Yarrowia lipolytica: one gene and its partner. The protein of the gene in region 1 purifies or fractionates together with the protein of each later gene. This does not show direct contact. Links are inferred from orthologs where the notes say so. Each region holds a gene or a part of one and is shown in the gene's direction. Other genes may lie near its edges. The genes, in order: YALI1_F08635g and YALI1_C30795g.

What was found.
Region 2: the proteins of YALI1_F08635g (region 1) and YALI1_C30795g purify together in Saccharomyces cerevisiae (affinity purification with mass spectrometry; 3 studies listed by BioGRID). This does not show direct contact. The link is inferred for Yarrowia lipolytica from reciprocal best matches to the Saccharomyces cerevisiae genes RPS15 and RIO1.

Annotation. Positions count from the first base shown.
Region 1 is NC_090775.1:855,689-871,579, reverse strand, and holds YALI1_F08635g (uncharacterized protein), read left to right. Parts: upstream 1-7,666; coding exon 7,667-7,712; intron 7,713-7,994; coding exon 7,995-8,410; downstream 8,411-15,891. Other genes in the region: YALI1_F08705g (uncharacterized protein), read right to left, coding at 1-1,063; YALI1_F08683g (uncharacterized protein), read left to right, coding at 3,231-4,967; YALI1_F08650g (uncharacterized protein), read right to left, coding at 6,277-6,519; YALI1_F08603g (uncharacterized protein), read right to left, coding at 10,818-11,107, 11,179-11,188; YALI1_F08597g (uncharacterized protein), read left to right, coding at 11,581-11,811, 11,878-12,180; YALI1_F08590g (uncharacterized protein), read left to right, coding at 12,333-12,485, 12,566-12,751; YALI1_F08585g (uncharacterized protein), read left to right, coding at 12,992-13,867; YALI1_F08562g (uncharacterized protein), read left to right, coding at 15,302-15,838. UniProt on the Saccharomyces cerevisiae protein: Component of the ribosome, a large ribonucleoprotein complex responsible for the synthesis of proteins in the cell.
Region 2 is NC_090772.1:3,068,540-3,086,053, reverse strand, and holds YALI1_C30795g (uncharacterized protein), read left to right. Parts: upstream 1-6,502; coding exon 6,503-8,395; downstream 8,396-17,514. Other genes in the region: YALI1_C30859g (uncharacterized protein), read right to left, coding at 1-139; YALI1_C30760g (uncharacterized protein), read right to left, coding at 9,520-10,053; YALI1_C30749g (uncharacterized protein), read left to right, coding at 11,151-12,797; YALI1_C30726g (uncharacterized protein), read right to left, coding at 12,885-13,010, 13,093-13,177, 13,275-13,441; YALI1_C30706g (uncharacterized protein), read right to left, coding at 13,694-15,397; YALI1_C30683g (uncharacterized protein), read right to left, coding at 16,573-17,266. UniProt on the Saccharomyces cerevisiae protein: Required for the final endonucleolytic cleavage at site D converting 20S pre-rRNA into the mature 18S rRNA. Required for the final steps of cytoplasmic maturation of the 40S ribosomal subunit.

The DNA of each region.
Region 1 (15,891 bases):
CGTCGATGCCGGCGTGGGTCATGGCGGCGGGGACCTCGCACAGAGACTCAATGCCTCCCAGAGACTCGGCCAGAGTGAAGATCTTGGTGTTCTGGCAGAACTTGTTGGCAGACTCGGCTCCTCCCTTGATTCGGAAGGAGATCATGCCTCCGCCAAGACCGTTTCGGTGCTGTCGCTTTACAACCTCTCGTCGGGGGTTGGACTCGAGGCCAGGGTAGTTGACGGCCTCGACGAGAGGAGACTTCTCCAGGAACTCGGCAATGGCCTGGGCGTTGTTGGAGGCGGTTCCGACTCGGATGTGGAGAGTCTTGACACCTCGGTGGGCGAGCCACGAGTCGAAGGGAGAGGGAACAGCACCAATGGCGTTCTGCAGGAACCGCAGCTTCTCGTGGATGGCGTCGGAGTTGGTGGCAGCAACACCCATGACCACGTCGGAGTGGCCGTTGATGTACTTGGTGACAGAGTGGACCACAATGTCAGCGCCCAGAGTCAGGGGGTTCTGGACGTAAGGAGACATGAAGGTGTTGTCGACAACCAGGAAGACCTGCTCGTCGGCGGATCGGCCCTCGTTGGCCTGCTTGACGATGCCGGCGACCTTGGCAATGTCGGTGACGGTGAGGGTGGGGTTGGAAGGAGACTCGATCCAGACCAGACGGGTCTCGGGCCGGATCAGAGAGGCCAGCTCGTCCTCCACGGCGTTGGAGAAGGTGGTTTCGACTCCGTGAGCATTGGCCACCTTGGAGAAGTATCGGTGAGTGCCTCCGTACACGTCGCCAATGGACACCACGTGGGAGCCCTGAGCCAGAGACTGCAGAATGGTGGCTGTGGCAGCAGAGCCAGACGAGAACGCCAGGCCGTACTTGCCCTTCTCCAGAGCAGCAATGGCCTGCTCGAAGCCGTCACGGTTGGGGTTGGCCGATCGCGAGTACTCGTACTCGCCCACGGGCTTAGCGGCGGCGCTCTGGGCAAAGGTGGTGGACAGAGAGATGGCGGGGATGACAGCTCCGGTGGTCTTGTCGTGGGGGGCACCAGCGTGCACTGCGAGAGTTCCGAATCCAGACATTTTGTGCTTGTGTTTGTGTGAAAGGGTGAGAGGGAGAAAAGGGGGGTTGTTGAGGAGAAAGAGAAAGAGAAGAGAAAGAGACGATGGTTACACTGGCTCGCTGTGGTTATATGTATGCGGCAGAGTTCGAAAAAATTATAGTTTGGTTTGGTTTTTTTTTTTTTTTGGTTGGTTGGTTGGTTGTTTGTTGCACCTCCTTCCGTGTGCTTCGAATGTACCTCGTACAGTGGACGCGGCGTAACACAAAAAATGGCGCCATATCACGTGATCCAAAAGTCTCCCGACATGCCCGCGGCAATTCCACCCGAAATCCCAGTCTTTTAGATCTTTTAGACCGTCTTTCAATGCGTCTCGTGTCGACCACAGAATGGACGATTCTAGGAATCGAACCGTTGAACTTTGCGCAAGCCACAGTGCGACTGTGTTTGTGTGTGTTACCTCTGTGTGTGTGTGTGTGTGTGTGTTTGTGTGGCGTGGCGTGGCGTGGCATGGTGTGGTGAGTCTGTGGTTTGTGTCGCATGTCATGTGACCATCCCCACCGCATATATACTCCTGCTTGTCCCTTCCCCCTCCTCCTTGTCCCTTCCCCCTAGAAAAGTGTCTGCTGTATGCCGTGTGTCTTTTGGCCGGCTCGGTTTCGGTGACGCGGACTTGGCGGACAAAGCTGACCAACAACGAACCAAGTTTAACGAGGGCCAGACATCCGGGGCAACCATTGTGCAATGGGGCATATTGGCGAATATGGGGCGACAAAGACGGCTTATTGCGTGATTTGTCAGCATACTAGCCCACATATTTTGGTCTAGGGCCTGGTATGGGCACGTACTTGTACTTGTACTCGTACTCGTATCGTACCAGTCACCCTCCGGCCTATAACCGCTGATAGCCACTTTAGCCCTGCACTATTTTTTACGAACGCATCTTCTTCCAGATCGAAGAAAAGAAGAAAAAAAAAAAAAAAAAAGGACGCAAAAATCTACAACTAACGCAACATTTTTGTACTATAAGAGGTGGATATTATGATACCATTCAAACCAGCGCTGATTTTTGAGTCGAATGATGTAATAATATCCTCCTTTTGTCGTACAGATATCGTCTCAGAAGACGCTTCTCCGACCTCCTTCAGTGCATTATCAATTCAAGACATACCATATTAGGGGCAAGAGATGGCGATATGGTAGAGTAGAGTGAATACTACAAGTGGAGAATCCATTGGGGTCCGAGGGAGGGGACAAAAACGTTGCAAAAAGACCACAGATCTAGTAACACAAACAGAGCGCCCCAGACGTCGAGACATCACCAAACACCCAAACACCCTGTTCAGGTGACGTCATACTTTTCCCACATTGCCACATTCTTCTGGAACACGACAAGAAAGTTGGCACGGAAGGTGTCTGGTCACGTGATGGCACGAAGGATGGAGGGGCTGGTATTTGTTGATGTCACGTGTTCTTCTCCAACAGCACGTGACTTATGAGAAGGTAAGAGTGTGGGTAAAGAACGATACGATAGTACACGTATTTGTAGCACTTGCTCTTTGGTGAATTTTGTCAAGGCCTAAATGACAACTGCAAACACAGAGATATCACTCACAACCGCTATATCGGGCCAGTTGGGTTATTTTTTAAAAAAAAAACGTTTAAATTCACAGGAAGTTTCGAAAACCAATATTGGTATTTATTGTGATTTTATTCGAAATTTTGAAATTAACCAACTTGGCAGAAATGAAAGCTTTGTTCTGTCTGTCAAATCAACATCTACGCCTTCAGACTCATCTCGGCCTTCAGATGCCTCATCGCCAATTGTACACCATTGACCTCATCGCATACTGGTGCTAGGCCTTCCTGCATCATGCGGCATATCGATACCGCCTGAATCTTGCTGTGGGACAGAGAACCGTTGTCAATTGGCCAAGTAAGAAGGATGAAGACACGCGAGTTGGTTATTTGTGTTTGCACGGAGAAGTAGACCCCAATGAGTCCTTTTTCGACCCATATGACCCGCGTTTAACCCTTGTTTGAACATTGCTATCTGGCATATCAATCCGAGCTTATGGGCAAGAGGGTATTGCTACTTGTCCTGGAGTGAGACCGCAAGTGAGTGATAGAGAGAGAGAGAGAGAACGTCTTCTTCAATTCACTCTATTACATCAATCAAATCAATCAACATGGTCGAGTACACTTTTGAATGGCCGTATGGCGGCTCGGAGGTGGTTGTTTCTGGCACCTTTGACAACTGGTCCAAGTCCGTCAAGCTGGACAAGACCCCCAAGGGGTTTGCCAAAACCGTCAAGTTGCCCAAGGAGAAGACGGTGTACAAGTTCTACGTGGACGGAGTCTGGAAGGTCGATGACGGCGTTCCCACCGAGAAAGATCCCCAGGGGAATCTCAACAACGTGCTCATTTTTGCCGAGGGCGACCTGGACAATCACACCCAGAACATTCCCGGAGCTTTCCCCGGAGCAGCCGACGAAAAGGTCACCCATGATCTTAAACCGTCGCATCTGGACCCCAAGGCTGCCCATAAGCTGGACGAGACTCTGGAGACCAAGCGAGAGGCGGTAGCGGGAGGTCTGGTGGATCCGATTGCAGCCACAGACTCGTCTGTGCCCCAGGGACTTGTTTCTGGCCACCACAACAAGACCTCCAAGCACGCTGACCACGATCTCAAGCCGTCACATCTCTCCAACCGAGATGCTACCAAGTTGGAAGACACTCTCGAGGCCAAACACGAGGCTGTTCAGGGCGGCCTGGTGGACCCCCAGGATGCCTACGGACAGGGTCACGTGGACAAGAGTGGTTTGGCCCACAATGCTCCGCCTACTCTGGAGTCAATCCAACGGGACGAGAAGGCCGAATTCACCTCTGCCACCATTCCTGCCGCTTCCACCACCTCCCAGAATCAGCCCGTCACCCACGATCTGCTTCCCTCTCATCTGACCCACAAGCAGGCCGACAAGATTGAAAACGTGCTGGACGTGAAACAGCAGGCGGTGGACAACGGTCTGGTCGATCCCATTGATGCCACGGGTCAGTCACGAGCCGTTCCTTCTCGAGATGTGACTTCTTCTCAGACCTCCCATGCTCCTCCCTTGAGCAAGTTCCAGAATGACGAGAAGGACGAGTACACCACCGCCACCATTCCGGCAGCTTCCACCTCCCACAAGGAGCGCGTCACCCATGACCTGCGGCCCTCTCATCTGAGCCATGCTGCCGAGAACAAACTGGAGCATACTCTGGAAACCAAGAAGGAGGCTGTTTCGGGAGGTTCTGTGGTGCCCACTTATGCGGAAAACCCCATCCCCGCAGCCTCCACCACTTCCCAGAACCAGCCTAGACAACATGATCTGCAGCCCTCGCATCTTAGCAACAAGGCCTACGATAAGTTGAACTCTGCTGTCGAGCGAAAGCACGATATTATTGAGGACGGCAAGGTGTCTCCTGTCGATTCCCATGGTCATTCTCGAGCCGTTCCTTCCCAGCCATTGGCCAATTCCACCTCCAAGCATGGTACTCGTTCTTCTGGCACCTCTGGCGCTTCTTTGAACCCCTTCCAACAAGACGAAAAGAAGGAGTTCACCAGCGCCACGATCCCTGCCGCGTCCACCTCCCACAAGGAGCCCATCACCCACGATCTGCAGCCTTCTCATCTCAGCAGCAAGGCCGAACGGACTCTGGACGGCGTGCTCGAGACCAAGAAGGAGGCGGTTGAGGGCGGATCAGTTGTGCCCACCTACTCCGAGAACCCGATTCCCGCCGCGTCCACCACCTCCCAGAAGCAGCAGCGAACCCACGATCTACAGCCCTCCCATATCGGCAACAAGGCCGAGCACAAGCTGGACGACAATCTAGCCTTTAAGCAGAATGTCGTCAACTCCGGCAGAGTCGATCCTGACAAGTTGTAGGTTGATCAGCAAATATATGAATAGTAACGATGTGTATGTAGGGTTGTAATGGATGGATGAAGGTGTCCCCGATTTGAGAGCCGGCCCAGGGACGGTTCTAATCGCTGAAAGCCCTTTCCTGGTAGAACAGCTACAGTCGAGACAGTCAAGGCGCCAGTACAATTTCCGCCAAGTTTGACTAGATCAGCTGGAGAGTCTGTACTTGTCAGGACCCGTTTGTGAAGACCAGTGTACATACTTGACTCGAGGACCAGCAAGTGCTTTCGAAAGATGACTGACCTGATTGGAGTACTGTACTGTTTTTGTTGGTTAGCCAGATGCTTTTCAGCGGTCATTCTAGCAGCGCAACGACGCATACAGCTATCACTAGACAGTACATACGGCGGTAATACAGGTTCGGTATGTACGTTCTCAGAAGACGAGTTCACCAGGAAAAGGGCTTCTATTGCTGATTGATGTCGACGAGAGTATCAAAACTCGCACTGTGTTGGAAGTTGACCGTCTCGTAGACCGGCCGTGGACTCCATGGACTTGTGACTGGGCTGAGAACAGTTCCTTCATTTGATGGCTTAGTATACCCAATGAGCTGACTCAAGGCTACTTCTCATCTTTCTGTGGGTCTTTCTGTGAGTCTTTCTGTGAGTCTTTCTGAGCGGAAAAGTCTTGTTCCCATTCATAATGGTAAATCCGCTTGAGTAGATGGGTTTGGCCCTGTTCTCTACCCACTCCTCAAGAGAGTGTGAGCAACTCTTTAGGACTCTCTCCAACCGGATGGTTGGTGGGATTGAGACATTCACTCAAGGCTGGAAGGTGATTCACTCAAAGGGATCCACCATTCACATCCAATGGTGGCATGTTGGACGTGTGGTCAGCTGCGGAGGTCCATTCGATCAACGAGTACGCATCCTCGTGATCAGTTCCAGCACTGGAATTTCAACAACCGAACAGGCGAGACTGAGAGAGCTCCAGACACCGTTCGAGTTGAAAAGCGGTTCCAAATCGACGGAAAGAATTGGTGAGTCAGTGGGATTGGAGACGATTGTGAGGGTAGAACTGTGTCAGAAACCTATATTCTGCCACATCGGTCGCCAGTAGTTGATCAAAGCATGTATGTACTGTACTGTATGTACTATAATGATTGATCTCATCACTCGGACAGTCGCAAACTGACCACCAGTTATTTGTCCCGCATCTAGTGAATAGGTACTGTGCGGTGCGGTACGGTTGGTATCGTAGTTGGCCATTCGCTCTGTCCTCTACCAATGACTCCACAATGGACAGCAGTGGATAGTGGAGCAGTTGTAGGTCATTAGTGAGATCGGTAGACCGAGTGATCAGGTTCAAGGATTAGTGGACGTTCGGGTGTCTCGAAAAGTCCAACACAGTCAGAGTATTGCGAGTATGCTATGTACGGTACGTAGAGTATGTACATGCTCGTTTTCTGATTGCTATGTCTTGATGGGAATTGAATTAATTGAATAGATTGGAATATGCTGGAAAGGTGAAAAAGTTGAATTTGAATTTGAACAAATGGCACCAAACTGGATGACATTGACCCCCAAGTACTTGTACGAGTAGTTGAAAAAGGATGGGAAATGATTGAAATTGACGGGAAATCGAATCCAATGAATTCACTTTATATTTTTTCTAACTTCGGTTTGGTATTCCAAAAATCATGGAATTATTTAAAAAAATAAATACATTGACCTACACAACACGATCGCATCATACACACTCATACAACCAATAGAACATAAGATGTACATTTTTATTTTTGGACTCTGACAAGATTCTAGAGCGTTTAGTCGAACAGACCGAAGCCCATGTCGTCGTCGGACTCCTCCTTCTCCTCCTCCTTCTCCTCGGCGGCGGGAGCGTCGGAAGAGCCGGCGGCGGCACCACCAGCAGCAGCGGGGGCGGCACCTCCGGAAGGAACGGAAGCGAGCTTCTCGGTACCCTCGGCAACGAGCTCGTCAACAGACTTGCCCTCAAGGTCCTTGAGAAGGGCGGCGACTCGCTCGGAGTCAACCTCGATACCGACGGAAGAGATGACCTTCTCGATGTCGGCAGCGGAGGGAGAGGTGTTGCCAGCGGCGTTAAGCAGGAGGTAAGCGGCGAGGTACTTCACTGTGGTTAGTATGGAGGAGGTGATCGAGGTGAACGAGATGAGTCTTGGAACAGTCCAACAGTCATTAAACAGTCTTGGAACAGTCAGAACAGTTGTGGAACATTTCTCAATCAATCGTCAAACAGTCGTTAAACAATAAATCGAACTTCACCACCGGTCTTCGATCCTGTTTGCAATGACAGTACCACGAGGTAAGAATCGTCGCCAATTTGTCGTTGCTGTCGTGGTTGTCGTCGTCGCCAGACCTCTCTGGCTGCCGTACTCACTTGTAAATAATCAAATTTAAGCTGTTGGAAGCAGACTATTTCTTGTGAAGGAAAAATCTCAAAGATGTGGTTTTGAAAAAAGAGTGGGTCGGACAGAAAATAAGCTTTTTGAGTGGCTTGGTGTCCCGAAGTGGAAACCACGCCTCTCCCGTGCACAACCCTACTAACCCTAACTGAATCACGTGTTGGGAGTTCCAAAACGGAACCACTCACTCCTCCCAACCGAAAAGATTATCAACACTTTGAATAAGTCTTTTCCTACTCACATCAAACGACAAAAATGGCTGACGCTTCTGCTGGTACGTATGGACGATAAACGAGACCGGCGTATGGAGGACATGTCGAATTACGGTTGGTGCGACACGGCGCCCAGAGACATTGCGGTGGCATGACAGGGAGGATTGCACGGCGTGGCCCACGGCGTGGCTCCGTATGGGCGGTGTCACCTGCAACGGGAGCTGTGTGATGATGTGGCATGATAATTGTCATCCGCGACGTGGCATGAGGAATCTCAGCCGCGATACGACCTCTGTGATACACGACATAGCTATGTCACTCGCAATATGACCTCTGTGATCCACATGATCTGAAATGACACGCTTACGCCCAATTCCCCTGTTCCAACTAACACAGAATCCCGAAAGGCTCGAACCTTCAAGAAGTTCTCCTACCGAGGCGTTGACCTCAAGGATCTGCTCGAGATCTCCACCGACGAGTTCAAGGAGCTCGTTTCCGCCCGAGCCCGAAGACGGTTCAACCGAGGCCTCAACAAGAAGCCTACCATTCTCATCAACAAGCTGCGAAAGGCCAAGCTCGCCGCCGGCCCCAACGAGAAGCCCGCCGTGGTCAAGACCCACCTGCGAAACATGCTCATCTTCCCCGAGATGATTGGCTCTGTTGTTGGTGTCTACAACGGAAAGTCCTTCACCACCGTTGAGATCAAGCCCGAGATGATCGGCATGTACCTCGGTGAGTTCTCCATCACCTACACCCCCACCCGACACGGCCGACCCGGTGTCTCCAACTCCAAGTTCATTCCTCTGCGATAAGGGATTGCATGGTAATAAAAATATGTATTGTATGATTGACATACGCGAACACTGTGAACTGAGAGCCTCAGAGCCCTGAGAGCCTTGAGAGCCTTGAGAGCAAAGCTCGAAGGTGTTTCAAGTGCTCTCGGAGTGTGGGCTTATTGTAAATGTATTGGCTGACACGAGAGCAAAGCTCGAGTGGGTCGTTCTTGTACTTGTACTTGTACTTGTAGTTTTGATGTACCAGCTGATCTCTCGGTTGGGCCTTTTGTATTCGTATCTAGCTGAGTGTTTTATTCTATTTTTATTTCTTTTTATTTCTTTTCACTTTATTTATTTTATTTCTTTCATTTATTTTTTTCATTTTATTGAAAGTATAGTCCCACTTGGGCCGGATAAAATATCAAATTCACCATCCACCTGGAAACTCGCAAACTGACAAGTGAGATTCTCCAGTCCTTCCAGCCAACCACTTGACTCCTTGGAATATATATACACACTTGAAGACTTTATTTGTCAGCAATTTGGTCGATTCAGTGGCACCCTAGAGGAGAGTGTCTACAAGTACAGTATCCAAGTACATAGCGGTATCAACTTGTGGGTGGACTGAATGAGTCCATCTCGTTCAAGACAATGGCTCTCAAATTGACTGTGTCAAGACTGGTACGGACCTTGGGAATCACTTGTCTTCTTCGTCAATATACTCCTTAAAGCATCTCCATCCTCCGGCTTTCACTTCCCGTGACGAGAGTGGGCTCTCGCTTGTCCGGATGAGCCTTCTTGCCATTTCCATGCTTACGTACTGTACGTGTTGTAGATCTTTCGACGCCGGCTCATCAATTTCACGCAGATTGCCTCCAAATCAATATAGCTGTTGCCTCCTAACATGCCCAGCCCTCGATCATAGATGTCTGGCAAATTCCAAGAGACGAATGTACGCAGGTGAGAGAGGATATTGTAAAGGGGACGTCGTGGAGAAGAAGTCTTAGAGAGTCGCAGAGTGACAGTCGTAGAGCTGCCATACTACTACAAACAACGTCTCTTCATTGCTATCTACCTACGGTATCTAGATAATTAGATCGTACTTGGATCGGCAACAGGTTTTGGTTTCCAGTATTTCTCACAGTATTTCGGTTGTCTTGGTCGATGGGTTGAAGTCTGGTAATGTGGATACTGGCGATTCAGAGATTGGTAATGTCTCGAGTTACAGTCAGATGTCGGAATTCTGTAGACGAGTTGGTGTCTAGCGGTCCGACCCAGGCCACCCCATACACATTTTATAGTGGTCGGAACTCCATAATATAGCTCGGTTCGATGAGTAAAAGGTCAATCTTGAGTTGTCTTTTGAAATGCAGTGCGAAAAAGTGCTCACACCTGTTTTGATTGTACGTACTCATTCGGTTCATGTTCATGGTTACTCATTAAAACTATCTAGAGTCAGAAGACGTCCATTAAGGAGAACCGCCTAAATGGAGTTGATAGTCAGTATGTACTGTATATGAATAGTAGTTACCTCAGCTTTGGTCTCGGAATGGACCCTGTTTTCGCTACTTCTTTCAGATTCCCTGGTATTACTAAACTTGAACTACAGCCACAGCTGAACGCTCTAATGTCTTGCTATAGTTCTTTCAATGGAATTTAAAGTCCCATATTTTGATTAAATATAAAACCGAATTAACAATTCGCCCCAGTCTCAGCTACCGTAGTTGTACATTGGCTGTCCTTCGCCTCCGTTTCCACACGGTCTCTGCGCTAGCTGCTCATTACTTTTTCCCAAAACAAATGGGTCTCAGTTGAAAGGCCGAGTCTCGCTTCGAAAGCTACAATATTTACAGCCATACCAAACACTACTTGCACGATACTCCGACTCGTACTCGTACCGAAGACACCCTAATGTTGCTTGGCCGCCGATTGCCCTAAAAGACGGGCTCCGAAGTAGTCAGCTGTGTTGATTGGCCGTGGATTGGCACTCGAGTCATGATAGACGGCTGATTGGCGTTGATGGACCGTCCCAGCACTGTGATAGCCAGATGCTTGAGTTTGCACTTTGCACACTGCCATTACTGCAATCTTACAGTGGAGGACAACCCGTACGAGTACACGTACAAGAGTGAGCGGTCATGGCAAGCACATATTCCATGGCCTGATCAAAACATTGCTCACCACTGTTGAACGCTCACAAATGGCTCACCCCACGGTTGCTCCATCTAAGACGGTTCCAGCGGCCCGTTGTGCCGATAGACCTCAGTTTGGCTCCGTATGGTATCTTCCCTGCCCTTTTGGGCCGGGTGCAGAAATCAATAACCACATGGTCCTCGGTCTTTTCTTTTTCTTTCTCTGGATCGTGAAAACTAGAACCCGTTAGTGCTTGGAGGAGAGCTTTTTGGATGGAGAGATCATGTTTGGATACCCAAGTAGACGGTGTTTAGTACAGTAGACGAGTAGGCGAGTAGACGAGACGAGTAGATGAGTAGATGAGTAGACGAGTAGACGAGTAGGCGAGTAGACGAGTAGGCGAGTAGGCGAGTAGGCGAGTAGGCGCGCTCGTGATGAGAACCTCGCAACCCTCCAACAGCTCACTGTGAATCACGCTATCCTCAACTTTGGCCTTGGCATGCACTTCCTCCACCTCCAGATTGTGCCTGGTTCCTGGACTGGGGCCCTTGTGCCTGGTTCCTGTGGTGTGTGCGTACACTGGAATAGTCTGTTCCTTGTCTGCGAGTGATTTATTACTTTTTGCAAGACACAACTTTCAGCTGCAGCAGCCGGATCGTCGTCGAGCTAACTTTGGTGCATAGATAATGGGGGGATGTGGTTTTGAGGGGGGTGGCCAAAGCTGTGGAGAGCAGTAAAAGTGGTTGGAGAGGGGGCGGAGGTTTTTTGAGGTTGTGGAAGTATGTTTTTATCACTTTAAGCTCCCTTTCAGCGCCCTTTTAAAGCGTTTTGGCCCCGTTCGGCTGACGGTCACCTTCAATCTGAGCCATATCTACAGTACTTGCAACTCCAACTAAACAGAGTTACCCGTAATTGCACTGTAGTTAACCGTAAATCCCATAAAGTGAAAATAAAATCAACCTCTGAAGGATACGCTGAGCCTTAATGGCTCGTGCCGGTCAACGAGCTAGCAATCGACAGCAGGCGGCCAAAGAGCGGCCAAAGAGCGGCCAAAGAGCGGCCAAAGAGCGGCCATGAGAGACCAAAGACGCAAACACTCGACGCAAACAGACTCGACGCAAACAGACTCGACACAAACACAACCAACTGACTCACACTCAACCCAACTGACAAAGCAACCAACAAAGCAACTGACACATACAAGCAGGTACCGAACAGTGCCGACACAGAAGCAGGTACCGCAGCATCTACAGACACAAACACCTCAGACTCAGCACCACTCCACTTGTACCGCCAATCAAGTCGTTAGATGCAGCTGATCAAGGGGTACGGGCGTCTCACACGCCGGTGAAGCTTGCATGTGACCGAAGTGGGCTCTGGAGTACCTACAGTACTGTAGGGAGATCTGCACTGGAGTAGCTCGCCGAAAGACGCCAATCAGCTGTTCACCCGTCGACGAACAATCGCTTTGGCAGAGGGAGCTGCAGAGAACGGCGCCTGGTCTCGTCCTAGTCGGAGCGATTGTGGCGGTCCTTTCAATGAACGGCTGTCCCCGGCAGCCTACAAAACATAACTGTTCCAGTTCACGAGAGCATGAGTGTGGGATGTATATGAAAGTATCTTCATTTCAGGTGCTTGCCAGGTGCTTGTCCCGCCCTCATGCGTCTCCATAACCACAGCTACAAGCACTGCACCACTGACGGGTACGTACCCGCATCGATTTGGCCACTGATAAAAAGAAACGCAAAGTGGACAGATGGAAAGGTCTATTGGATTGAACGGTGCAATTGGTCGCAAACGTTAGTCGGGCGTTGAACTAATTCCAATGCACTTCGGATCGCTTGTTTTTTGTTTGTTTTTACATATGGCCTTACTCAGCGTCAGAACCATGGTCTCTACCGGAACAATGGCCTCTGCCAGAACAATGGTCTCTGTTTGCCACTCCGTATATCGCCAAAGCCCTCCCTCCACGTGCAAAGTGGGCTAACAATTGGCTCTCCACGGCTACTTTTCTTTTTCATCGACATTTATTACCGAAGATCCCGACGCTCAACTTAGTTTGGCCAACTGCCAGCCAAAACCCACCGTGGAACTGTTATTGTACTGGCAGGTACCTGTCAACTACCTGAACTTGTCTTTGGATACCTCACAATGATACCACAACACAATACACCACATTTCACACAGCATACCTTCGTGAAGCTGACCTCAGGGTACCACCGTGGTTGCCTGTACCCGGACTAGGCCGCCTCAGATCGCCGGAGCTATTCCTAATCCATTTTTATGCACTTTTTAGCTGCTTCTAGACGGAAGGCGATCGGCAAGGTACGCTGTATTAGGTTATTCTAGCTCTAGACGTTCGACAGAGGTGGTTGTGAAGGAATATCTCGAGTTTCTGGAGTTATATAAGGGTCACCTCCGTCCCGGTATTCTCACCAGACAAGTCCTCAGTCACACTCTTCACGCACCTTTCTACCCACCACAATGAAGTTCTCTACTGTTCTCCTTACTGCTGCTGTGGCTGCTGCTGAGCTCATCACTCTTGACTGGGCCGAGACCACCCAGGTCATCTCCATTCCCGACGCCACTGCCGGCGAGCAGGCCACCTCTGCCGTTCTGTCTGCCGCTTACGATGCCATCCATGACCACCTTGCTGCCCAGACCACCCCTGCCCCCGACGCTGAGAAGGCCGAGGAGGCTCTGGACCTCACCATCCAGGCCCCCTTCTTCACCATGGGTCTGTGGATCCCCGACCTGTCCGACTTTGGCATCGGCACCAAGAACGAGACCATCTCCGAGTGGCTGCACCGAATCTGGGAGGAGAAGCAGGGCGTGGCTTACCCCAACCGAAAGCGTGAGTTCACCCCCGAGGAGATCAACGAGATCCAGGAGGCCGCTGAGGGCATGGACCTGACTATCCAGGCTCCCTTCTTTACCATGGGTCTGATCATCTCTGACGCCGATGGCCACGAGTCCACTGTCTGGGTCACCGAGACTGTCTCTCCTGCTCCTTCCACCACCCCTGCTCCTGCTGCTGAGCCTTCTTCTTCCGCCCCCGCTTCTTCAACCGAGGCTCCCTCTACTTCTGAGGCTCCCGCTTCTACCTCCGAGCCTGCTTCTTCTTCTGCTGCTCCTTCTTCTGCTGCTCCTTCTTCCACTGAGGCTCCCTCTTCTACCGAGGCTCCCACTTCTTCTGCTGCTCCCACTTCTTCTGCTGCTCCCACCTCTTCCGCTCCTGCTTCTCAGGAGCGAGTTACCGTCACCGACACCATCGAGGAGCCCTGCCCCGAGTCTACCACCTCTCTGCCTCCCACCACCCTGGTTGTCACCACCAAGGAGTGCGACTGCCACGACGAGTAAGCAGTCTGCTAACATGTTCTAGGGTCTGGACCCGACTTTCACTTCTTATTTCTAGTTTTTATACCTTTTAATATTATTCACGATCATGAAACGAAGGCTGTAGGAGTACCGAGGGTCGCTGACAACTCAGCTACTGTGCTGTGCTTGTAGGTCAGTCTGTAGGTGACCACTGGAAGTGGTTGATCATCGTGATGGCCTCAAGCAGCTGAATGAGCCTTCTAGGCTACTCGTAGTTCACTCATGGGCCTCTTGGGGGTCAGTGAAGTGCCGGAGAAAAGCCCTCCTGTCTGCAAGTGTACAAGTACTTGTACAAACACACTTTTATCATACTCATTGTCCGATGATCAACATCGGAGTGTTCATTTACGACAGTTAGCATCATCTTGCTGTTAACTCTCAACTCTCTCAAACCCCCACGCTCAACTCAACCTCCAATGTAACGGTAGATCTCCCGAGGACAATCCCGGAGGTTTGTCGAAGATCATAGCAAGGAGATTCTAGAAGGTGGTCATGTGACTGCAGAGAGTACTTGTAGAATGGTATTTGATCGCTGCTTGTGAATTTGCTTCTTATCGCTTAGCTAGAGAGTGGTGTCTTACTACTCTTCCTAAGGGGGTGTATTCGAGGACCAACTCATGAGCTATTATGCTTCTTGGACAGCTGGAACTACAGATTCAGTCGATAACCCGACTTTATGGGTCATTTATCGCTTCTTGTATTCCCTCTGTTACCGCCCATTCCTCTATTCCGATCTAGATCCTTTTGCTTCCACTTTGGTCTCGCACTATCTCTAGCTTGCTATTTGGAAAGAGTCCGATCAGAGCAATCTAGAGGCGTTCCGGGGGGATTCCAAGTTGATACAAATGGAATACAGCCCCGATAGCGTCTCCATATCCACTTTTTTGCGCCCAAAAATCGCCCACATCCGAACTCATAGCCTTGCTTCCAGCCTGTGCGGCTGCTAATTATCGTGTTCACGTGTAGTATACTCAATGAAGCCATGGTATGTACGTGCCTTGCGTAATAGAGGCACACTCAGGCCCTTTTTGGTTGTCGTGGGAACGAAATAGGTTGGAGCGAGATAGGGCTGTTCTGGGCGGAATAAAAATCGGATAAAATCGGGGAAAATTGGAATCGAACAAAGAGCTGTTGGTTTTATTTCCAAAAATTGTCTCGTTGCGTATGTATATTTTTGCGCCCCCAAATTACGGAGCCCCTCCATCCCCTGGTGCCGAAAACAGAAACCCATAAACACAACTCTAAAGTACACACATGAACGCATAATACCAAGACTGTATATACACATAACCCTCTACCTCCTACCTGTTACACTTAGCACCACGAAACCACCGTCCACCCTACCCACCCTCCTCAGACCTCTTCTCTTGCGCCGCGACCCAAAGAACAAGAGGATAGCTGAAGAACCCGAAAAGAATGCAGATGGAAGCCCAGAATGCCGACCCCTTTGCTGAAAACCCCGCCAAGCTGCAAATGTCGGGATCCAACTCAAACGACGGCCACTCGGTCACCAAGCGCCTGCAAAACGAGCTGATGCAACTCATGATGTCCGACACGCCCGGAATCTCGGCGTTCCCCGTGTCCGACGCAGATCTGCTCAACTGGACCGGCACCCTGACCGGCCCGGAGGGAACGGTCTACGAGGACCTGACGTTCAAAATCTCGCTGGCCTTCCCCCAAAACTACCCCTACACCGCACCCACAATCAAGTTCATCAGCCCCATGTGGCATCCCAACGTGGACATGTCCGGCAACATCTGCCTGGACATTCTCAAGGAAAAGTGGTCTGCCGTGTACAACGTGCAGACAATTCTCTTGTCCCTGCAGTCGCTGTTTGGCGAGCCCAACAACAAGTCGCCTCTCAACGCCCAGGCCGCCCAGCTGTGGGACACGGACATGGATGAGTACAAGCGGCTGCTGATGCAGCGGTACGAGGCCCCTGACGATGAGTAACCATTAGCATGACGTCGCACCGCGACTTGTAACAACACAGCATAGCAACTTCG
Region 2 (17,514 bases), on another chromosome or scaffold:
AGGGCGGCCCCGACACATGGAGATCTTCAATGTACCGACGCCAACGCCAAGTGGTATTAACCATTCTGGTTCTGTCAATGGCTCTCGGGAGAGGTTGAAACACTGTTGGGTTCGCCAAAGCTGAGATTGAAGATAACATCTTGCCGTTAGTAGGGACTAGTCGACCAGGGTTTAAGTCATCGTAGCAGTCACATTATGTAGGCAGTATATAACTGACAGTGACAGACTTGCCGACACCGTTGGCTGTGATTTCCGGTCTATCTCTCCAGCCTCCCAGGAATCAGTGTCGGTAGTCTTTGGTTCGGACGACTTGATGTCTCATTACCGGCGCTGGCTGATCCTCCGGTACCTCAATCAGAGAAAACCCGACCCACTCATCCCCCACTACAACGGCTTTGCGCTGATGGAATGAACTCATGGATCGGGAGCGCCATGTTCCATGCCCGCGGCCCGTGACCGGGAAACTTGACTACTTCTCGGCCGACAGACGAGACTTCAGAGAAAATACCGGCTTCATTCTTGCCTCAGAGAATCCCCCGTCTCATTCTTGCCTCAGTCTGTGTCAAGCTCTTCCTGGCTCGCGTTTCGTGTCTTTCCTTCATCGAATTCGACCCAGGACACAACATGAGGGTTAACGTAGTGGTCGGTGCAATTTGACCTCGTGTCACCTTCTGGGTCACTATGGGCCTGCAGCTGTGTGATGTCCCACCATGGAAGTTTCTCATCGACGCCCACTCGCTGTGGCACACTACTACCCTGATCCCCTGATTCCTGTAGTACGAGGAGCTGATGGCTGGAGACGGAGACGTTGCCATACGAGAGAGAAGTGCAAGGTCCTTGGTACCGTTAGGATTATCGAATTGGTACCATTGGGGTGGCCGAATTGGTCATGGAGTTCTTCCTCTCTTTAACTCCAAGAAAATGCTATGAATACATGAATTAGGCCTTTGTAGCCAGAGGGTACTTTCTAGGCCGATCTTGAGGACGTCTAACGGCGCCCTGGTATCGCCGGTCTCGACGTGTGGATCTTGATTTCGTGGTTCTTGGTGCTGCTTTCCCCACCGTGTTGGTCATTCGAGGAATGGGGTAGTCTGCCTCAAACTTGGAGTACGGTAGTCTATCGTGGACTCAACCTCGGCATCACTCTTGCTGTCACCATCCTTCTCCCCTTCGAGTTTCTGCTCTTCTTCGATCCCATAACCGTCCTTGTCGTCCACTACGACGATCCTCCATCCAGGCTCCAAATCCTCTTTAGTAGGAACTTTTGTGAGCAGCCTTTCCGGCATCGGAGTCCAAATCAGCTTGGATGGCGCTGCTTCAACTGCACATTGTTTTTGACTACCTTATCGATGGCCACTTCAAGCGAATAGCTGTCTCAGGGTTTCTGACCAGACGAGTGACTCAAGAGCAGAGACGTCATCTGGTGTTGTTAGTCTTGAGGAGCAGTGGGATAGCTATCGCACTGACCAGAGAGTGGCAGTCGGTCGGCTGTCGGGTGGCTGTCGAGTGGCCAGCTCGGTCGTTTCGACCTCAATACCTGACAGCCATCTTCTCCAGTACGAGATCTGTTTCAAGATGAAGGCGTAGTATACTGGCGGTTGAAGGCGATTTTGAGCTTGAGCGCGGGCAGATGGGACCTTCTCAGGGGGCTGCGGGTGTTGGTCGAGGAAGAGTGAGAGGAAGAGTGAGAGGAAGAGTGAGAGGTTAGGGATGGTTGAGTGAGAGTGAGAATGAGAGGTTGAGTGAGAGGAAGAGGTTGAGTCAGGATAAAGTGAGGGTATAAGACGGTATATATAGAACTGAATATGAACATTTGGGTTCGAATAATGGTTGAATAGTTGTTCAGTCGTATTAACTACGTTGAAATCTACAGGATTTTCTTTTTTTCTTTCTCGTCTCTTCATTTGGGGTCTTTTGTAGAGTGCTTTATATCTCTTTAGTTGACTTTAGTTCAAGGGTGAATGATTAGTTGGCTTTAGTTAGTGAATGAATTGAGGTAATAGTTAACGGTGACCACTGGAAACTAGTTAGTGAGATGGTGAAGTTGACAAGGATTTGGAGTCGACAGAAATGTCGGAATATACCGCCTTTCGACCACACTGACTTGTTTATTTTGTTATTTAGATTATTTTTGATATTTAGACGAATTAACTGTTGAATTTAGATTATTACAGATTAATTAGTTCAAACACTTCAGATTAAATCAAACAAAGACTTCAATTGCGTAGAATAAATAGAAAAAAATGAAAATCGAAAGAATAATTGCGAGTAACTATTAAACAGTGAATTGACAGCCCTACCCAGTCCCCAGAGCTATTAAAATACAACATATGGCTATAGCACGATAGTAATAAACTGAATAGTATGGATCATGCACTGGAGATACTAGAGATACCGCCTATCTGCTCCAAACTGCGGAAACTTGTAGTGACTAAAGCAGCAAAATAGTCACACTGTCATCATAAAACACACTTGATAGAGCCAGTCTATCTGCCTTTTAGAAACACCAAAAACAATCGAAAAAACATCCCGAAATAAATAAACCGACGTCCAGAATCTAATGATAATATCAATTCCTCTATATCTCCACTCCTCATCGAATTGACCAGGCCTCCATGGTCCGCGCCTGGATTGGAAACTTCTTCACGTGACCAACTCTAATTCATTTCCAGGCCGCATCGCTGGGGGTGCAGTTTTGGGGGGTCTTAAGACGGGGTTTTTTGATGAATTTTCGTCTCCATTTTTACCAGTTCATTAGTAAGCCAATTTGAACAGGAATTTCGAGTTTTGTTTTTGGAGATACTTGCTCTGAGTACTACATACTTGACATCTCAACTAAATACTGTAAATGCTTACAACACGATTTTATTGACCGAAAATATGAATAAAAATAAACAAATGACAGAAAAATTTCCAAAATCTTTTTGGGACTCGAGGAGAATGCTCCACAGCTGTAACATGTACAATTTGAGCTCCTATCGGACTTTTCCAAAGCTTTTTTATTGAATCTCTCAATCTACCCTTCATATGCTGCTTATGACTTATGAACAATCATCTGTTTCCAAAAAGTGAATGAACGTTCCCCAATGTTTACAAATCAATGCATGGACTGCTTAATAAACTCCATCAAGTTTGGTCTTACTAAACCTCTTCATTGCCGGACAGTTTCAGACTAAGTTGTATTCGGTAACATAATTTACCACGACAGCAAATGGAGTGTATCGTCAAACCCATATTACACCTAAAGACATATTTCTGTTAATTTTCTCTATATTGCAAAATTAAAATATCAGTGTATTCGCAGAGGCACACAATTGTAGTATTAGTATTGTTCAATTTTCATCCCTTGATAGACTCAATTCAACGCACTAAAGTCTGGTCATAACCTGCCCCAACCACATCCCCGTAATAAATAATCTGGATTTATCTCACCTTCCACTTTTTTCATCTCCAAACCCAAAATCTCGTAAAAACCTCAAATCCAAGCCACAAAAACAACCTAATTTTCTTTTAACAACTAAAATAAATCAAAATAAATAAATAAATCAAAAAGAGCGCAAAATCAAACAGACAAATTACACCACAAAAATGAGCACCCATTACCATTTAACTAACATATCTCATGTGGTCACGTGACTGCACGTGACCCCCAAGCCTCCACGAATATCCTCAACTTGCTCCCTATCAAAGGTGCAGCAACCTCCAAGGTCCCCAATTCGAAACCTTAAACCAACCACTCTTAATGAACCACTTATGCCATATAAGAGGTTGGTTCCTTGTACTGATTATTGGAAATACTCATTATTCAGCAATTTGGTACCATTCGCTCGATTCTTTTGATACACCGTTATGCTTGCAACATATTCGCCGTTCGCCGTTCGCCATTTTCCCAATGTCGATTGGGGGGGGGGGGGGGGCGGAAGTTCATAAACTGTGTGGGCCTGAAGGGGTTGCAAAGTCATAACCCTGTGGGCCCGCCAGGGCAGGGCTGTCGGTCAATAACCTGTCCTACCTTTGGGAGTTTGGGTCATAACCTGTTGGCCCGCCAGGGCAGGGCTGTGTCGGTCATAACCTGTCTACCTTTGGAAGTTGGTCATAACCTGTGGCCCGCCAGGGCAGGGCTGTCGGTCATAACCTGTCTACCTTTGGAAGTTGGTCATAACCTGTCGACTGCCCAACTCATAACCTGACAGCCGCCCATGCATCAACGTGCATACAGGAGGCGTTTTCCTTGGTCATAACCTTTGTTGGTCATAACCTGTGGCGTAAAAAAAGGAAACTTCATTTGCCCGTTACCGCTCATGCCCCATCCACCTGACCTTCGCAGTGATTTCTTTGATATCCCAGATGCAGATGCGATACCTGCTGTCGATTCGGATTCCAGAATGCGATACGTTGATTGCGATACCCTTACCCTATACCCTAACCTGTTGATATCAGGCAAGAGCTGAATTGTGCTGTTTAGAGGCAACTGCAGGAGGCGGTGCATGTGAAAGCGTTATCGTGGTTCGGGAATTGCGGTGGCAACACCAGGGCTTATTGATTTATGGCTTGTAAAGTATGGGTTATGGCTTAGTAAAGTATGGTTTAGTAATGTATGGCTTACTACTCCACGGCTTACTCATCTACGGTTGACTAACTCAGAGCCCTTTTCGCCATTGGTTGGAGTGATCCAATGGCGAAAAGGACTCTGCCCAGAATTCTTGGCGTTGCCACCAAACTTTTGGGTGTCCTTTTTTTGACTAGGAATGTGGAGAATGGAGTAGGTTTTGTTTGCTGGCAAAGTTGAAGGAAGTGGGATTATGATGTGTTTGTGGTTGTTTGAATTGTCTTGTTTTTGGGGTCATTTTGGAGGCAAAAATCGGCAGTATTTTTTGGTGTTTGTTTGGTCTTAATCTGATTTCTGGCTGTGTTTTTGTGGCCGATTCGAGATTTCGATTAGATTTTATCATCTTTTTGTATCGTCGTATTAGCCACGTTTGATTTTGTTGCTGAACTCTGATTGTGGGGCGGCGGCGCGCAAAGGGGAAAGCGGTTTTGTCGGTTTTTAGGCTGCGAAACCGAAGGGAAACAGGGCGTTCGCGGTACCGTTGGAGTCACGTGATTTTTGCCTCTTTGCTGGGCGTTCGAATGGTTTTTTTTGGGCGGAATCCGGACATTTTGGGGTCGGTTCTTTTTGGGCGATTTTTTTATTATTTTTGAGACTATTTTGCCATTGGTCTGAAAAGTTTAATTCAATCAAGAAAACGATAAAGAAACCCAAAATGACAGAATGCAAAAGTGCAATACAAGAAATCATATGACGGCAACCCGAGCAGCGATAATCCCTACAAGTATATATAGGGCGGTGGTATGGTCCTTTTGACATCTTCACAGACAATCATCGACAGAGACTCAATTACCCGAGACTCAATCACCACCAGACCCATCTAACCAGTCGCTCAAGAAAAACTCCGCCGGACGTTTTTTTTTAATCCACCCGAACAATCTCACCAACTACCAAAATGGCCTGCTCTACCAACTGCCACTGCACCAAGCCCTGCACCAACTGTGCCTGCGACACCAAGTCGTGCTCCTGCGGACCTTGCAAGTGCGAGTCTTGCCAGTGCACCAAGGCTTGCGAGTGCGAGAAGAACCCCGATTGCAAGTGTGAGACCTGCAAGTGCGAGGGAGCTTGCAAGTGCTAAGCCCACTGATTTATTCAATTGATTTTCCGTTGAGAAGTACTGTATTTGTAGAGTAGTTTTCTCCGAATAAAAGCACAATTAGAAAATGAAGAAGAAAAAAGTAGGGGAAAAAAAACACATAAAAACTGAGTCGAGGGTGATTCTTGCAAACGCAGGTAGGCTCGCAAGTGTTGAATTTTCGACAGATTTTATTCAGATTCTTGCGTAGAAAAATGCTCACAGATGTATCGTGAATCTCCTAATAAATAAAATATAAATGTCGATTGGAAAATCTTATAATTTTAAAAGAGGTTTGTTTTTTTTTCTTTTTTTTTTTCTTAATTACTGAAAGAGAACTGATACATCTGAGAACTCTGGAGCTGAAAATTCCAGAATATTGAAAATTGCTAAACAACTGACACTCTTACATATACATTGATGGTTGGGTTGGGTTGTTGAATTTTCTGAATCATCATCCATTCCTCACAATTTGTATTTCTTTTAATTTTAAGTATTATTTAAAATCGAATTCCCCAACTATTCTTTGATTAATGTATCGCCACATCTAGAAAAAAATGGAAGTATATCTAGACAATATCTCCAGCCCCAATGATTTTTAGATCAAGTGATACCCCCACTCATCTATATACCTCACTTGACATGTTTACCGTTCCATGTGACAATTTTTCTGATTTTCCGATTTTTTCCTATATTGAAATTCAAATTACATTTATTAATTCCCCAAATAACCTTTGATCGTGCATAACCTCTTTTTTTTAAAAAATTCTACATCACTTATTTTCTGTGCACACCAACGCATCTAGAAGGACAACAACATGGACTGGGAACGCGAAATTTCGAGCGGAGCATCTTCGACACTGCTGCCCTCGACAGATCCCGATTACAAGGAGCTTGACGGGGTCACTGTCGATTATGAGGACCTTATTGACGAGGACGAAGAGGAGGAAGACGAAATCGTGGAGGACGACTACGAAGAGGAAATCACCTCGGGAAATGTGACTAAGCGGTACAACAAGCAGAAGAAGGTGGTTGCAAGCGTTTTAGGCGAAAAACCGGCACAACAGACCGCTGACAGCGACCTCAGCAAGTACACGGGCCGATTACGTATGGACGACGACTATCTTGATTCACTGACTCATCAGGGGCTTGCTGCACGTGATGGGCAGGTGAAGGGCAAGAAAAAGTCGTCTGGAGGTGGATCTCAGACAGGTGGCAATTCTGCTCTCATGGGGACCGCCACCAAAGACCGGGCTGATCGAGCCACTAATGAGCAGGTTCTGGATCCCCGGACCCGAATGATTCTGTTCAAAATGATCAACCGAGGAATTATTTTCGAGGTCAACGGGTGCGTTTCCACCGGCAAAGAAGCCAACGTGTACCATGCGTGCACCGAGGAGGGCGTTCATCGTGCCATCAAGATCTACAAGACGTCAATTCTGGTGTTCAAGGACCGAGATCGATATGTGAGTGGAGAATACCGGTTCAGACATGGCTATTCGCGCCACAATCCGCGCAAAATGGTCAAGGTATGGGCTGAAAAGGAAATCCGAAACCTCAAGAGATTGCATACCGCCGGAATCCCGTGTCCGGAACCTCTTCATTTACATCTTCATGTTCTGGTGATGGGGTTTCTGGGCGACAAAAAGGGATGGCCCAGTCCCCGGTTGCGAGATGCCAAAATCTCCGAGCTCTTTGCCAACCCTGCCGAGGAATACACTGCTCTGTATCATCAGTTGTGTGCGTACATGCGAATCATGTATCAGAAGTGTCGGCTAGTCCACGCCGATTTGTCTGAGTACAACATTCTGTACCATGAGCGCAAGTTGTACATTATCGACGTTTCGCAGTCGGTTGAACACGATCATCCTCATTCTCTGGAGTTTCTGAGAATGGATATCAAGAATTGCAATGATTATTTCCGGAAACATGGAGTCAGCGTGTTTCCCGAGAGAACACTCTTCCATCTCATTACCAGCCCGTTTCTGGAAGACATCAAAATCACCGACGAGATCTCCGTTAGTTCCCGGGAGTTGGTGGAGGTGGATGAAAAGGATGGTGAAAAGGGCGACAAAACGACTGGAGACAAGAGTGACGATAAGGCTGAAGATGATAAGAGTGAAGACAAGGGCGAAGACAAGGATGAACACAAGGATGACAAAGTTTCCGTAATCGATGACTCCACTACTGTCTGTGACACTTCTGCTACCATGTCTGGCCCTGCAGAGGCGAAAAAACGAATGGAGGAAACAGTCGACTCGCTCACCGCATATATCCAAGCGATGCCCATTGAAGAGTCCACGGACCAAATAGAGGCCGATGACGCCGTGTTCCGGTCGGTCTACATTCCCCAGAACCTCGACCAGGTCTATGACGTCGAGCGAGACGTGGAAATGGTCAATGCCGGCCAGGGCAAGGATCTCATCTACTCGTCGCTCATTGGCAAGAAGGACGAGGAAGAAGACCAAGAGATGGGCTCGGAAAGCGAGTCTGACAACGAGAGCATTTCGTCGATTGACTCGGAGGAGCGCGAACGGCGGTTCCAGGAGAAAAAGGCCCTGACCTCGAAACTGGGCAAGAAGTTTGAAGACAAGGATGCTAAAAAGGAGCGAAAGGCGGCAGTCAAGGAGGCTCAGAAGGAGAAGCGCAAGGAGAAGATGAAGAAGGCCACCAAGAAGAAGCTGATTTCCAAGTCCAAGGGTAAACATTAATTGGCGTTGTAGTGGTGACGAGTTGTCGCTGGAGATGTGCAACGACCTTGTCGACGGCAATTCGATACCGGCGCCTTCTTGAGTCTGAACATGCTGGATCTGTTGACTGTACTTTACTCCTACACCCAGTACCCAACCTATAGATTATGTATTGTTAAAATCCAGAAATGATAGACGAAAAGAGAAACTCTGCCCGGTAGACGTTAGTTTCAGCCTTCTTAAGAAGTTTTCACGACCTCTTCACGTGATGATACAGTGTTATTTTCAATCCGTTCTCACTTGGTCCAAATGATGGGAACTCATTTCAATACTGTACAATTACTGTACAAATACTTAACCAATCAACAAAATTACTTGGACTATCTGAGAAAAATGTTGTTTGATGCAAAAAAAAAATAGTACTACCAAAAACATAAAAATTATATGAATATATCTATCCGATTTTTGCACTTTGGTTATATAAGCGGGCAAACCATCTACTGGAATATACCACCAAAGGCGACTGGTTCGAGGAGAAGCAAAAAGTCTCTAGTATGCAAAAACATATTTTTTTTTCTATTTTTTTTGTATTTTTTTTATTTTATAGTATTTTTTTATTTTATAGTATTTTTTTTATTTTACAGTATTCATTTATTTTATACTATTCTTTATTTTATCGTATTTGTTTTATATAGTATATGTTACAAAAAATGAGAAAAGTACGATTGTTTCGATATAGTCAACATAACCACTTACAACTCACTTCCCCACGTAGCACGCGCTAGAAGAGTGCTTACTCATTCACCAGAGAGAGATTCTAGATGAGCAGATATACCACCAGACACGCCACCGGATACACCATCAGATAAATCATCAGATACACCATCTACAGGAACAACTTCTTTACAACCAGCTGGTTCCTCTCATGATCATGTGGGGAATTGGCGGGTATTACTTAAAAAAGTGCCCAAAACGCCAGGAGCACGAGTGCCACGCGCAAACATAGGAACATTCAATTTTAGGGTCATATCAGGAGATATTGACCTCGGGTTCTCATTGTCTTGATCGGACTCTGGAGGATGTCACGCGCATCTAGTCGCGAATAGTCGTCACGAGACACCACAGATAACGCCACCCACGCTGTGCTAGAGACGTTTGAAGTGGGTAAACGTGTTTGATGTGCAGGATCTCACACAAGCCGCCCTATTGGAGGAGCATATCAGAGACATTGGTAATGACACACGTTTACCAGAGATGTGGTTCGTCAATGCCCAGAGCTTCTTTGAATCGCATGAGCTCCTTTCGGAGTACTTGAAAGTAGAGTCGCCCTCTGGACCACGACTATCCAGAACGCTTCGAGCGGCCTGAAATGACGATTGCAGGCAGCGGTAGAGTGGTTTGCGGTCGTCACAGTCCGAGAGGGCAGCGGAAGACGGAGCCGAGGGCTCCATGACCGGGCCCAGACAGTGGAGCTTCCAAGCACTGCTGCTGGGCATAATAATAGACTCCACTTTGGCGAGAAATTCAAGACGAAATAATAGCCCCTTCTGCAAGGCTAATCGGAGGTAGAGTTCCAAGGAAGAGAAGAAACGGGACGATAAAATGGGTTTTCCTCGAGATGGAAAGTTAGGGGGTGGTTTGAAGACATCTCGTGTCTGTGGCGAGTCTCCTGGACGCATTTTTTCCGTTTTCCCGCCATATTTGCACCGGTCAGACCAGTTTCAAACACCGATCTGGGGATCTTATCAGAGTTGTCACAGATTATAGCAACTTCGGCAAATGTATAGATGTAGGGTTGACAAGGTGGATTCGTGGGCCGCAATCCGTGCTGGGTGAGCTCTTTAGACAAGGGGGCTGTTTCGGCTGTTCCAGATGTCAAAGATACACACTTTTGAAGCGTGTGCCCCCCAGGGGTTTGGCGAGGTTTGAACTGGCGGTCTTGGTAGGTGTCAACTAAAGCTAAGTAAAGCTAAGTAAATCTGCGGGCGGGTGGGAATATGAGAATGGGCCCTGGATGACGAAGCCCCTTCAAACATCCCTTATCGCTGTTAGCGATCAGTTGGAGGATGGTTAATGAATCGACCATGGTGATAAAGAACTTGTCGACAACTGGATTTCAGCAGTAACAGTTCAACTATCTTGTACGTCTGACTTCAGAGCAAAACAGAAACCCGTTATCCTGACGTCAATTCCGACGCCAATTCCGACGCCAATTCCGACGCCAATTCCAAGACTCCTTAGTATGCTCGAATGTAGAGTAATTTTGGCCGCTCAGAAATCGACAATTGGGCTAGTCCTTTGGTTTTTCCCACAAGCCCTCTCCTATACTCCCCGTCGTCCATCTGTCTCCATCCACTCTCCGCAGCCCATCTGTCTCCGTCTCTCTCCTTATCCATCGACCTACCAATGGCACGCCGACAATACCACTCATTGGTGCATGCTAGAATACCTCGATAGCCGCAGATTTGTTATGATAGCACTTGTTCAAACCAGACTAGCATTTAGCACGGATGATGTGGGGTGAGAGGTGGAGACATGTTGGGAGCCTTGGACAGGGAAAACGGAACTTCAAAAGCTGCCAACAGTTGCAAATCACCCTTTAAACCGGGTTTACTTGGCCTCTATCAACTCTCCGACTTCCTCCATGTTCCCCATGTGTCTCTACATCCGGACTTTATGTCCCCCTCCATCCCCCACCCACCCCACTACCCCTCGGGTCTAGACCTACCCCTCAACCTGAAGACGGTCGATCCAGCTATAAAGAGTTGGCCAGCAGATGTTCGCATGGCAAGTGGACCAGCAAACGCCTCCTTTGCCAGAGATGACGCAAATCGAGACCAACCGCGAAGAAAAGGCGGAGCTCGGCCATGAGACAGGGTCCAGTGACTCTCCTCAGTTCAGCCCTCAGGTTGAAGAGATCAACCAGATGGATCTCCAGGTGGATCCCCAGATAATTCCCCAGATGGACGAATTCCCCCCTCCGCCGTCGCAAGAGGAAATCAACGACAGAATCAAACAACTGGCCATCAAACATAACGTCAACCATCGCAAACTCATGTTGAAAATCGACATCTGCGTCGTTCCCCTGACTTGTCTACTCTATGTCCTGGCGTTTCTGGACCGAGTCAACGTTTCCAATGCCAATGTTTATGGCATGTCCGAGGATCTGAATATGACCGGCAACAAGTTCAACACCGCTCTGGCCATCTTCTTTGTGCCCTACGTCATTGCCGAGATTCCTTCCAATTGGCTCATGAAGAAGTTCAAGCCCCATGTCTGGTTGACGGGGTGTATGACTCTGTTTGGAGTCTGTCTCCTGGGTCAGGGGTTTGTTCGAACCTACGGACAACTGCTGGCCACCCGATTTCTGCTCGGGCTGTTCGAAGCAGGCATGTTTCCGGGCTGCTTCTACCTGCTGTCCATGTGGTATCGCCGAGAGGAGGCCCAGAAACGATACTCCTTCTTCTTCTCGTCCACCACCCTGGCCGGAGCGTTCGGTGGCCTCATTGCCGCTGGTATCCACAACCTGGACCACGACAGAGGCATTCGATCGTGGCAATGGATCTTTATCATCGAAGGAGCGTGCACAGCTACCATTGGAATTCTCATGATTTTTTGCCTGGCGGACTTCCCCGAGGAGGCGCGGTTTCTCAAACAGAACGAACGGGACTTCATCAAGGAGAAACTGGAGATTGGAAACGCCGGAGTGTCGGAATACGAACGTTCCATGACTCGCAAAGACCTGGCGTTTGTCTTCTCCGACTGGAAGGTCTGGATCTCCGGACTCCTGTACTTTGGATACATTGTTCCGGCCTATGGATACGCCTACTTTGGCACCGCCATCGTCAAGGGTTTGGGATACTCGCCGGTCATGACCCAACTGTACTCGGTGCCGCCCTGGGTGGCGGGATTTGGCTTCTCCATGGTGTCGGCGGCGTTTTCCGACCACTTTCGACACCGGTTTGCGTTTGCCTTCTTTGCGGGAATCGTCGCGGTGGCGGGATTTGGACTTCTCATGGGACAAACAAAACATATCGGCATCCGATACGGCTCGCTGTTCATGATATGCGCAGGAACATACACGGCCATGCCAATTCTGGTGTGCTGGACTCAAATGAACTTCTCGGGACACCACCGAAAGGCCATTGCGTCGGGCTGGCAGATTGGTTTCGGAAACACGGCGGGGTTCATTTCGACGTTTATCTTCGAGGCAAACGAGGCGCCCACCTATCCAACCGCGCTCGACGTGTGTCTGGCCTTTACCGCCTTTTCCACCGTGCTCCTCGCGGTCTATTTTGCCGCCATCTGGGCTGACAACAGGTACAAGCGAACGGAAAAGTACCGTCAAAAGTTCCGATCGTGGCCCAAGGAGAAACAGCAGTTGGCCGGAGAACTTCATCCTAGTATTTTCTATAGTTATTAGGGAGTGACGGTACATCAAGGTCAATTGCTTGACTAACGGTGGATTGTCTAGGTAGACTGATTCGAACGTCGATGTACACTCGACTGACTACCCCACCACCTCTGAAGACTCCACCGACGACCCCACCGCCTCTGAAGACTCTACCGACGACTCCACTCCTCCTGAAGACTCAAGGAAACTTGACAAGTCTTCAGGACTGGTGAAATCTGTTCGCTGTAGTCGTCAGTGTCAACTACTTGTACAAGTATTTACTGTACTGTTAGCATAAGTGTCTTGTCAGAGCTGGTATCAAGACATCGTCAACTGAACAAACATAGCACGTATCAAAAAGCCTTTGGAATAGGTATCGAAAGTTGTCTTCATACTGAGGGACAACTTCACTCAGCTGTTTTGGTCAACCTGCTGGCGTGCTGGTCCCCAACTAGTCCCAACTAAATACTAACTAAAGAGTAAGTAAACCCCTGAAGACGGTTTAACTACCAAACACGACGAATATCCACGAATATCCACCTCACACACCATGTCGACATCATCGTCATCGTACTCAGCAATACAACCCCGCCACAACTCCTCTCCTTCCTCGTCTTATGACTAAGCCAATATACAAAAACGTTGAACTTCTGACATAACCCGAGCCCAAACATCTCAACAAACACCAGTTGTATCCGAAAGGAGTGTCTTTGAATCAAAAGTATAGAACAACAGTTGCCGTATATTTCAGACAATCAAAAGTCGCAATGGCCCCTAAAAGTGCCCTTCTCTTCACGTCGACCCTACCCACAACTGTAGAGGGAACCTCAACTTTCAATCTGCAAATCAACTCACATATACCATGGCTATATGAAGCGTTGAAACATCCAGCTCCAGTAGACGCCTTAACCTGCCCACCTCACACCCTACATGGACCCACCAGACCGGTTTGCTCCGCCAATAACACCAGCCATCTCCAGAAACGCTCGATCTTCTGCAATGTTGTTTTTGTTGATGGTCCGTCTGTAACTTGCTTCTCGCTCCTCCCACTCGATTCGCTTTCGTTGGTGCTCGAGGTCCGTGTCGTTTCCAACACCCCACACCTCCACATTTCGCACCTTGAACCGTTCGTCCATCAGCTCTCCAGGTCGATTGATGGAAGGCGCGTACGAGCCGCCCTTGCCAGCATGGTGGAACTTGCCAAACTCCAGGGAATCGTCTAGCGTGAGAGACACGGTTCCTACCACTTGAGGTGCCTGCACTCCGGTGAACCGACCAATGGACTTGGGGATAGGAGAACCAAAGGCCAGTCCTCCAGGGTCGTGCTTGAGAAAGTAAGCGTGGTTGGACGGGTTGGTTTCACCCACAAAAATATCCTGCGTGGGGGCTAGCTGGAAAATAAAACATTTGGAAGATCCAAACGTCTCCTTTGAAGACGATCTCCAGGGAACGTCGAGATAGAATCCGAATTTCACCTCGCTCTCACCATCATCGGGAACAACAGCTCCCTTGAGCCGAGGGTACTTTTCATCAAAGGTATTTGCTCGTTTAAGAGACTGGTTGTTTGTGTTGAGCCGCAATCCAGACACTAGCAGCACCGAAGGGGCTCTCCAGCCAAAAGTTCCGGATTCAAAAGACCGCTGTGCAAAACCATCCTTCTGGCCCATGTACAACGTCTTCAGGTTTTCCACGTTGCCGAGGAAGGGGCAGAAAGACGCCATTTGGGCCACCGTGGCATGGTTCAGCAGCTTGGTTGGATAGGTGCTGTTGGAACCCAGAGGATTGAGCGGAGCAACTGGTTCGTTATCTTCCTTCTCCGAGTGAGCCGATGTGTAGAGAAGCAGGTCGAAAAGATGACCTACCGGAGCCAGTAGATGGGGACACACCTTGTCAAAGGCATGTCTGAATTGAACAAGATCAATGTCGCCATTACATGCTCGGGAGATGCACTGGGCGGACTTTCGACAATCGGCATACAGCGTCTTTGTGTCTGTCTTGTCCTGGCTCACGACCGTCTTGATGTGTTTTGCGACGGTTCCCTTGGACGGATCGAAGCCGTAGAGGACGAGCATGAAGGTGAGAAAGTCGACGAACTCGTCGCGGGGGAACTTTAGCTCGCTGACGTCGGTGGCGTAGAACTGCTTGACCGGCCCAAACGACTTCCAGTCGCCGTCAAACTCCAGATTGGGCTCCTCCGACAGAGTCACCTCCTTGGCCACGTCGCACTGCTTCAGCAGCGACACAAACAGCAGCTTGAGCGGATCAAACTCCTTGAACACCTGCGTGTATCGGCCCGAGTAGAAGACGATGATCTTGAGCAGGTCGTTGAACGAGTACCCCGCCTCTCGAGGCTTCGTGTCCATGAACGGAAAGTTGGCGAGGAACTTGGCCGAGTTGGTGAGCAGCTTTTCGACCGACTTGAACTCGGACGGAATCCCCAGCAGAGCCGCAAACTCCTCGTCGGTCATGCGCACGTGGTCGCCGTGGTCTTGGTGTAATACCGTCGCCTTGAAGTTGTCCTTCAGCCCATACAGCTCAATTGGTTCCAGCGTCTTGTAGCATTGCTGTGCAAACAGCTGACTCACTTGGTCCTCCGACAGATGTTGCGGAGCTGAAGTGCCTTGTCCCATGGTGTTTGTGTAAAAGAAGAGTGCAGAGCGGAGATGATGATGCGTAAATGTTGGACTTGCCGCCTGATAGATGGATAAAGTTCGGATACGGACCAGAGAGGAGAAATGGGATGGGCCTCGAAACGGGGTTCACGTGACCTAGAGGGGAAATTGAAAAACATCTACGGCATTCTGGAGGCCACGTGACCCTATTCTCGGCTTTGCTTTGTCCAATTTCTGTCTTTATCGGCCATTCATATGGACCTTTTGTTTCCCCAAATATATACGCTTGCTGTTAGTCTGCCCAGGTGCGGCATCTCCAAAGGTTAATTTGGGCGGTTAAGTTGGCGGTTAAATTGAGTTGAATTTAACAACAATATTTTAATAATAATAACAACAATAATGAACGTAGAAATATTATTTTTTTATGTTGATATTTGGAGTATTTCAACATTGATTTGTTATTTATATTTATATTCCATTTTTAAAAGGTTTTATAGTTATTTTTGATAAAAAAAAATAATTATTTTTATAGTCCGATTTCCAGCAACTATCCTGACACTCGTGCTGACTAATCATAGTGTCAATGTGATGTGATACAAGTACTAATCAACAGGAGCGCAAACAGGAGCGCAAACAGGAGCGCAAACAATTCCCGAGTTGCAATGACGCCTAGAAGAGGCTCCTTGAATGATGATGAACTTGTCAGGCTTCTCCCCCATCAATTTCTGCCCAATTTTTTTTCTTCTAATATTACCAGCTGGATTACTACGAAACCAGAACTGCAGACAAGATCCATAAGCCCTTGGTCACAGGGACATGGCAATGGAATGATAACTTGATTAGCAAGCAGACCATTGTCAATTCAATTCGATTTTCAACTTCTGTCCCTTCTCCATAGCCAAACAATTGCTGCAGAGCATCTCTGACCAAGGCCAAGCAGAATAGACACCCAGCCAACATTCGCATCTCGATGTCGTCAATCAACTCATGATATTTATCTCTTCTAACCTCTTCATTAGTCTCCAGGCTTCCGATATCAGCCGTTCAAGTCGTTCCAAGCATCCCAATCGACCTGGCACGAATCGGTTTTGATACCCCGGACTTGTAACAGAGTGGTTGAACTCGTCATCAGAATCGTAATCGTTAGTGATTGGCAAGAGAATACTACGTCATAAAAATGGATAATAAATAAACTAGACAAATTTCCAGCCGGCGCCCTCGTAGGTGGCGTAGCATCGGAACTCGTTGGACAGACCCTTCTCGTGCTCGGGGTGGAAGTCGGTGACCTTGGTGTCGGGGTAGACCTTGGCGATGACGTTGGCCATTCGCTCGCCGGTGCAGACAATGGCCTTGTACTTGTCGTTGCGAGCAGTAGGCTTCTTGAGCAGCAGACGGGCGGTCATGGCAGCCTTGGTTTGGCACTCCTCCGACAGAAACGGGGGGTCGACCAGAACCCGATCGCACACGTTTTTGATTTCGCTGGGCAGCACCAGGGGCTTGTTGAAGTCGTAGAGGACGAATCGCTTCTTTCCAGCAAGCACTCCGAACCGCTCGTCGTACTCTAGCAGAAACACGTTCTGGGTAACGATCTCCTCCTCGGGAAGAGCCTTCATGGCAGCATAGACGGAGGGCGCAGAGACAATGGCAATAACAGTATCTTTATCGGCCCCGGCGAGGAGCTCTCGAGCCAGCTTGGTGGCGGTGGCCTTGTTGTACCAGAACTGCGACAGTTGCCAGTCCTCCTCAAAGTCCTGGATGTCCTTGGACCCGTCGCAGAGCTTATCAAAGTCCTCCTCTGCCTGTTTGTGGAGCTCGGCGAACTTCTGTTCCCGCTCCTCCTGCTCGTTCTGGAAGTCCATGAGCGCGGCAAGGGTGGATGCGGACAGTCTGTGTTAGCGTGATAGGATGTTACGAGGCCCGACTGGAGCATTATACCGAAAGAGGTAGCGGTGGCAGTGGTGGGACAAATTGACTGAAGAGCATTTGGGCTTGGAAGGAGTATTTTTCTGAACTGAGAACGCATTCTGGGCTCTAGGCAAGCCAACATCAACTCTTGTCAACAGTCAACAGTAACCAGCAACAGTCAACAGTAACCACCAACAGTCAACAGTAACCACCAATCACCATTAACCAGC